Linked DNA regions of Notamacropus eugenii. The protein of the gene in region 1 binds, or shares a complex with, the protein of each later gene. Links are inferred from orthologs where the notes say so. Each region holds a gene or a part of one and is shown on either strand. Other genes may lie near its edges.

What was found.
Region 2: the proteins of KIT (region 1) and SOCS6 are in contact, whole or in part, in a crystal structure (PDB 2VIF), measured with the Homo sapiens proteins. The link is inferred for Notamacropus eugenii from reciprocal best matches to the Homo sapiens genes KIT and SOCS6. Residues at the interface, in NP_000213.1 of Homo sapiens: Asn566, Asn567, Tyr568, Val569, Tyr570, Ile571, Asp572, Pro573, Thr574; in NP_004223.2 of Homo sapiens: Arg391, Glu395, Arg409, Asp410, Ser411, Ser412, Asp413, Ser419, Phe422, Thr428, Leu429, His430, Thr431, Arg432, Phe442, Tyr443, Glu444, Gln445, Val448, His460, Asp464, Ala469, Phe470, Cys471, Tyr472, Ser473, Arg474, Ser475, Arg476, Thr482.

What each region holds. Positions count from the first base shown.
Region 1 is NC_092877.1:106,137,267-106,141,177, reverse strand, and holds the start of KIT (mast/stem cell growth factor receptor Kit), read right to left. Parts: upstream 2,724-3,911; 5' UTR 2,595-2,723; coding exon 2,531-2,594; intron 1-2,530. UniProt on the Homo sapiens protein: Tyrosine-protein kinase that acts as a cell-surface receptor for the cytokine KITLG/SCF and plays an essential role in the regulation of cell survival and proliferation, hematopoiesis, stem cell maintenance, gametogenesis, mast cell development, migration and function, and in melanogenesis.
Region 2 is NC_092875.1:216,251,618-216,255,528, forward strand, and holds the start of SOCS6 (suppressor of cytokine signaling 6), read right to left. Parts: upstream 2,948-3,911; 5' UTR 2,700-2,947; intron 1-2,699. UniProt on the Homo sapiens protein: SOCS family proteins form part of a classical negative feedback system that regulates cytokine signal transduction.

The DNA.
Region 1 (3,911 bases):
AATGGGGGAGTAGAAAGGGAGAGGTGTAGAATGGAGTTAGGTAAACTGTCTTCCTTTTTCATATCCATCATGTTTTCAGCAGTCCCAGAATATCTTCTGTCCTCTGTCTCTGGATGGTTCTTGCCCAACACCGCAGCAGCGGCAGGAAGAGGGACCTTATGATTCACTGCTGCTGCTGGCAGTTTCATCCTGCTTCTGACATTAATTCGGGTAGAAAGCTGCATCAATGCACACACACACACAGAGACAGAGACACACACACACACACACACACACACACACACACACACACACACACACACACACACACACACACACACACACACTTTTCTTACCACCTAAAGGAAAGAACACCAGGAGATCCAACCCTGCAGGGAGAGAGGCTGGAGTAGAGTTGGGAGTCTGAGGCACCAGGTAAAAAATTGGGGGGGGGGGGCCTCTGTATACATCAAGTGTATCAGAGGACATACATTAGTTCTGAGCCCAGGTGACGAAGAGAGGCTGGAAAAAAAAATTCGCTATGCAAAAAAGTATATTGAAAGAGGCAAAGTATCAAGCAGGAGAGGAAATTGACTTCACAGAGGACCCCAAATAGACACTGTTCTGGCTTGGCTGGCTGTCAGCAGAGCTCTGCTGAGATCTAGCTGTCCTCTCCAAGGGCACCGAGGGGGCTCAACTGCTAAGGCTAGATGCTCCGAATGCGTCAGGGAACCCAGTCCGGCGTTTCCATCCCAGTCCAGATGAGGACAAGAGTCCGGAGCGCCGAGGTCTCTCCTCCCCCCACAGGAAAAGCTTTACAATGCCGAAAAACAAACATCTGAGCGGGCACGCTAAGCTTTTACAAGTTGCAGGGAAACTCCGACCCAGTGCCTCTGGTGTTTTCATTCATTCCCACAATAGCGAGTAAATGGCTGAATTCCCTTTTCCTGACCTCAGTCAGATCGGAGGGGGCAGCAAAGCTTTCCATTCACCCTCACACACTAAAAGCCCACGTTTAGCTCTTTTATTTTCATCTTTCAGGTTGCACAAAGGGAATGGAAGCAAAACTCCCTCCTCTCCCGGGAGGTGGTGGAATATAGGTGAGGAATGCCTCATTTATCACGGTCAGGAATGGTCAACATATGTTACTTAGCTGTTACCTTCTTTGTTGGAGAAGGAATGGGTTTTTTTGAGCATTTTTTTAAAGGACACTCTTAAGAACTAGGGTCCTAAGGACCATTTACCACCAGACGGCCACCCAATGCGGGGAGAGGCAGGGAGAGGATGGTGCAGATTAGCAGGCGCTCCATAGATATTTGCAGCATCGAGGGATCAAGGTTCCCTCCAAGTTCCAAACCGCTGCCTGTCGGTGCATGGGGACTTTCCTAGAATCCGCCTTTAATACTAGATCAAAATGTGCTTTTTGGCGTCTCCTCCTACTATCCCACTTGCTGCGCGCCAGTTTCCCTCTTGGGAATCCCTAGATATCCTAAGAATCCAGGGGGCCGAGGAGGCACCGGCCGCAGGTCCCTCCCGCAGCCCAGCGCCGGTGCCTCGTCCTTCCACTGGGAGCGCGCGCCGCTTTAAGTTGGGGAGCGCACCGGGTAAATGGCTCAGCGCCTTCCCTCCTCCCGCGCGGGAGCCAAAGCGCAGGACCCAGCGGCCCCCTCCCACCGCGTCTGGAAGGAGGAAAGGCGGGAGGGATGAATGAGCCTTGCAGCCACCCCAGCAAGGAAGTGGGACGGGATTATTATTATTTTTAAGTCTGCAGCCTCCTTTATGGACACCTCTGGCCGCAGGATGTGCAGCCCCAGACCCGCACGCTGCGGGTTCCCAAGGTTAAACACCAAAGGAGCGTGCAGTTCATTTCCAAAGGCCAGAAGAGGGGGACGGTCCGGAGGTACGCCGGCCACCGCGGTGGGTGACTGCAGGAACCAAAGGGTCTGCCTCAGTCCGTCCCCTGTCCTTCCACACCCGCGTTCCCCCGGCACAAAGGGTGCCCGAGGCTTTGCACAGCAGGCAGAGGCGGCTGGAGGCCAGGAAAGAGCCCAGGAGGGCCAACTTTCCCTTTCCACCGAGCCCAGAACCTGCTGGACTCGGACGCGCCGGCCGCAGACAACTTTCAACAAAAGGAAGCTGCGGCCGAACGCCTTCCAACGTGGAGAGCTCCAGTTTCACGATCCATCCCCCGGCCCTCCGCACCCACGAGCTCCACACAAAAGAAATCCAAAGGCACCCCCGCGTCCGTCCCCCGCAGCCCCCTCTGGCCCAGACTCACTCCCGGTGGCTCCCTCTCAGCTCCACCCGGCCCAAACGCTTTGTTTCTGCCCAAGGGAGCAGGTACACCCTCCTAAGCGCAAGTAAAAGGCTCGGGAAACCCAAAGGGAAGTCTCATGCGTGCCTACCCCTCCAGAGCCCTCCGGACCCGGGGCGCACGAGAACCGCCAGGACCTTCACACGCTCCCCCGGAGCACAGGTTTTGCAAGGTGGATAACATTCCCAGGAAAAATAAGAGGGGGCAGAAGGTGCGTGTAGGTAGCAGCTAACCCACCTGTCTGAAAGCTCAGCAGAATCAGGAGACCCAGCAAATCCCAGGCACCAGGAGCCCCGCTCATCCTGCAGCTGCTCGGGGTCGGAGCTCAGCTCCGCGGTCCTCCTGCAGTCCAAATGCACCCAGCGCGGCACACCAGCGAAGCCCCCGGAGCTGGGAGCCGGGCGAGCAGAGGATAGCCAAGGAGAGCAGCCCCTCCTCCAGCGCCCTCCCCCTGCGCGGCGGCCACGCCCCTCCTGGCTCCCCTCCTCTCCCTCTCCCTCTCTCTCTTCCTCTGGCTCTCTCCCACTTCTAACCCCTGCCAGCCCCCCGCTCGGCTCCCTCTCTCTAGACGTGCGCACTCCCGATCCGGGAGGAGGTCACGATTGGACACCTTCTCCCGCCCCCTTCCAGTCCTCCGGAGCCGCCTTCACCTTTCCTCGGCTGGGCTGTGGTCTGGACGCCGGAGGTGTTTACCGGACTAGGACTGCCTTGCCCGAGTGCTTGGTGAAGCCATTGCCCTGCCCGGCACCACCTGCTAATGAGCCATCGGGGCGGGTGCCTCCACCTGGCAGGTGCTCACTCAGACAATAAGGCTGCTAGGCGCCCGGGCTAGGGACCTGTTCTGGGCTCAGCCCCTGACCAGAATCCCAAACTGACCACTGCAGTTCTCTGCCAGTTCAAGTCATCCGAGGAGGAGGAGGCTGGGAGCCAAACCTTATCTACACTTCCAGTGCCAAGCACAATGGTTGAGAGGGCAAGGCGCTCGATTTAAAATTTAAAAAAAACAAACAAACAACTGATGTTAATTTTCTCCAACTGTATTGTTGGAGGGAAAATGTTCGCTTCTAAACTCGAGGGCTTAACTCTAGCCCGGGAAGCCCCTGCGCTACACTGAGGGCTACGTTTCCGAGATTGGAGTGGGAAAAGGGATTTTTGTAAAGTGTGGGGAGAAGAGAGGATTAAAATGATTGCTCCAAGCCATCCTGAACCCCCTCTTCTTCTGTTGTCTTGTTTCTTAACCCCTTCACAATGGTCACTGTTCCCTATTGACAAAGAGGACCATGCCCATTTCTACGGTCTTTTCAGCATTTTCTCCCACCTTTCAGACTTGAGAGAACAGTACGATTATAATGAGGGAGGCTGGAGGGCTTCTAGCACCTTCCTGTCTATGGACCTTCCAATTCAGGCAAAAATTATCCCACATCCCACGTCCACAATCTCAGGGGATAGTAAGTAAGTGTAGAGAAAGAATGCCCAGACACTCAAATGGGTCAGTGATCTCTCCCTAATGAGGTGCAAATCTCAACTCATTCATGCCTGCTCACCCTCCTCACCTCTTTTCTTCCCATAAATTTGCTACAGAAGTCCAGTCAACATGGGGGGGTTAGGGTGAAAGTTA
Region 2 (3,911 bases), on another chromosome or scaffold:
GAAACATAATTGAGAGGAAATGGGCTTTTCACCCTTGTCTGCATAAGAAAGAGGTTGAGGTGCCTTCTTCCATCCCTTCTTTGTTCTCCTCTTTCTGCAGACAGAATTTTTTCCCCTAGAGCTTTATACCTCAATTACACAGATTTTTACCTGTGCACGGGAGTGGGCTGTTACTGGGAAATTCAGACATTATATATGAAGCATAGTTACAAATGGGGAAAGATAGCATTCTATTGATATATTTTGACCAGTGCCTCATTGGATGCTGTTTGCCAGAAATGGATTCAACTTTGACTTGAGCATTCACTACCAACCAGGGACCAATGTGGATGCAGATCTCCCATCTAGAAAGTCACAAAACAGCAAAGCCTTGGTGAAACCAATAGAAATAGTAAAAGCTATATGTGATACCCAAAGAACTCGACTATATACAAGCAACTGTAAGTAGAAACAAAAGTTTGGGGCTTCCATTAGACTGCATGCCAGCAGCATACATGAATTTTACTGCATTTAACCAACGTTTTTTGCCTTAGTTGATTGTGGCAAAGAGAACAAATGGTTAGCGAAGAGAGCAAAAGGCTGATAAATGAATATATAAAGTCATATGAACCAAGAAGCAGGTCCATAAAGTCAGAACCAGTCAGTTGAAGACATTGTACTGTTGAGGTAATGGCAAAAATTGGAAGGATGCAATGCAGTACTGGATTGGATGATCAATATTCACATACAGAGCACCAGGAAGTAGTTGGTGCTATCAAATTCATATTTCTATGACTGCAAAAACTTCTCATGATGACTTAGACATATAGGACAAGAAAGGATTTGAGAGCTACTAAGAAACCGACTTTGCTCACCTAAAAATGACTTCAGGTATCCCCAAGAGGTATAAGACGTGTTCAAAGAAAATTATTGCCAACTCTTGCTGCATATTTGCAGAATATAAATATTAGTAAACCTTTGAAACTTCCCTACATTGACAAACTATCTTTGGAAAGCGATAGCAAGAACATAAGTCATATATTGGTAATGACTAACCATTTCATTAGATATGCAAAGTTACAGCCAACCAGAAAACAGAAAGCTTCCAAAGTAGCTAAGGTACTATGGAAAAACACTTCTTTATGTATGAACTTTCTACTAGGGTCCATAAGGACTTTGGAAATATACTTATCAAGAAGTTGTTGTCTTTGCTATCAAGAAGTCTAGAATGACACTTTACCACCCTAAAGTAGACTCACAACCTGAGGATTTTAATAACACTCTAATAAAAATGTTAGGGACACTGACAGCATCAGCATCATCATCACAATAGCAACAATACTTCAAGGTAAACTCAATTATTATCTCCATTTTACAGATGGGGAAATTCAGACTGAAAGAGGTTAAGTGACTTGCCCAGGATTACACAGCTAATTAAGTGTCTGAGGTCAGATTTGAATTCAGGTCTCCCTGACAAAAAGTCCAGCACTCTTAATGAGTTCAAATCTGACCTCAGACACTTAATTGGCTGTGTGACCCTGGACAAATCATTTAACCCATTTGCCATAATTTCTTCATCTGTAAAATGAGTTAAAGAAGGAAATGACAAATCACTCCAATATTTTTGCTAAGAAAACACCAAATGGGATCATGAAAAATCTGACACAACTGAAAAACGACTGAGCAACAAGTCTCTGAGAAAGGAGATGCTACAGATATTCATGACCTCTTAAATGAGAGTAGCTGAAAGAACCTTGCTTTCTAGCTACAATCTTAACTCAGAAGGATGCTGAGGGAAATAAATGACAATATCATGTCCATGTTCACTGTCAAGACATTCAACATGATGACAGAGTTCTGCTAAGAAACCTTGATGTTCATGGGATACACAAGTTAACAGACTGATGGAAATTACTCCATACTTAATTGTGGGAAGACTTTCCTGTTTACAAAATATCACTAGAGATTGGCAAAGGTCCTGTAAAAATAATTCACTGCAATCATTTGCTGCCAATTGTGAATTAGTTGGACTCCCTGATTGACAAATTGATTCTGATGGACACTTACTTCTGTAGACTTAAAGTGGTACAGACCAGCTGTCTGTTGTGCAATGACCACTAGAATCAGACGATGGATCAGAAACAGATATTTCAAGTGATGAAGGCTCTATTTACATGCAACAACCAGTTCAAATGATTGGTGAGCAGTGAATCCAGAGGCAATATCTTTTCTGCCTAATATTCAGCATATGAGTGTTTTAAGATACAAACACCACCCTCTTCTGAAAGTTTTATTGGTAAAAATATAGAAATGTTACTTATGCATTTTAATATGAATTTAATATGAATGCATACCATAAAATGCATTTCAATATGAAATTATGATTGTAACTAGGTCAGAAATAAGAGTTCTTAAAGAAGAAATGAACAAAAAAATCACAGAGGAGACAGTTTAGAACACGGCAGACTATCTCAAATAATAGAGATTCTGAAAGAAGAAAATAATAGACAAAATTAAAAACAAAAACAGGAGTGAAAGATTTAGCCAAAGAGAAGAAAAAGACAACTTTGGAAGAAGACATGAATTCTACATAAGTCAAAAGATTAACTTTGAAAACAAGATGCTTATAAAGCCATTTATCTGAATCATCTACAGCCAGTTACCTATACCATTTTTTCACCAACCAATCACTTTTCAGATCCTTACAATCTTATTTCTACCTTAATCATGATGGAAGTGCTCTGTCAAAGTCTGCCAATGATTTCTTTGTTGCCAATTCTAGGGTTTCTTCTCAGTCCCCATTGTTTTTTTATCTCTATGCAGCTTTGGTCAATGTTTACTTCCTCTCCTCTTGAGTCCTTTCTTATCTTGGCTTCCTTGATACTGCTCTGTTTGTTCTACTCCTGCCTATTTAACTTTCTAAGTTTTCTTTACTGGACCATCACCTATCTCTTCCTCTTGGCTAGGGTTTCCCCCAGAGTTTTGCCTTGGACATACTTCTATCCTTTTCTGACAATTTCTCTCTTTATGATCTCATCATGTCTCATCTCATCTGTATGCAGATGACTCTGAAATCTAGCTCTGATCACTCTCCTGAACTTTGGTGACATATTTCAATTAAATTCAATCCAACAAACACTTATTAATCATATACTGTGGGCAAAGCTTTGTTCTAGGCATTGGGAACACGAGAAAAATGAAATAATCCCTGCTCTCATGAAACATATTGTGAGAGAAGTGATGCAACATGTACAGAAATTAAGTATGACCCAAGAAATATCGAGGAGGGAGAGAGCATAGCTATTTGATGAACATATTTCTCTTGTATATCCCTTTGTCATCTCCAATTCACTTTGTCAAAAATAAAACTCATGATTTTCTCCCTTCTAAATTTTCCTCTCCTCTAAACCTCTTTACTTCTGTTGAAGACACCACCATCCTCCTAGTCATCCATGTTTGTAATTTTGGAAGCATTCTTTGTTCTTGTCTATTTTATCCCCCATATTCAGTTATCAAATCTTGTATCAAATCTTCCACATCTCTCACTACAATCCTCTTCCCTCCCATAATTATCAACTTGTTTTTTTATCCTTATTGTCTCTTGCCCGAATTATCGTAATAGCTTCCTAAATGATTTCCCTGCTTCTGGACTTCCCATTCAACACCCTTCAATCTGTCCTCCACTTTAATTATTTTCTTAAATTACAGATTTTGTCATATCATCCATGTGCTCCAAAAGCTTAAGTGGTTCCCTCTGACTTCTAGAATAGATATTAACTTATAAACCTGGCACTTAAAGCCTTCCAATATCTGGTATCTACCTACATTTTCTGCTTTATTTCATATTAATTCACTTCACAAACTCTACATTCCAGCCAAATTATACAATTATCTATTCCCCACACTTGGTACTCCATCTCCTCCCTCCATTC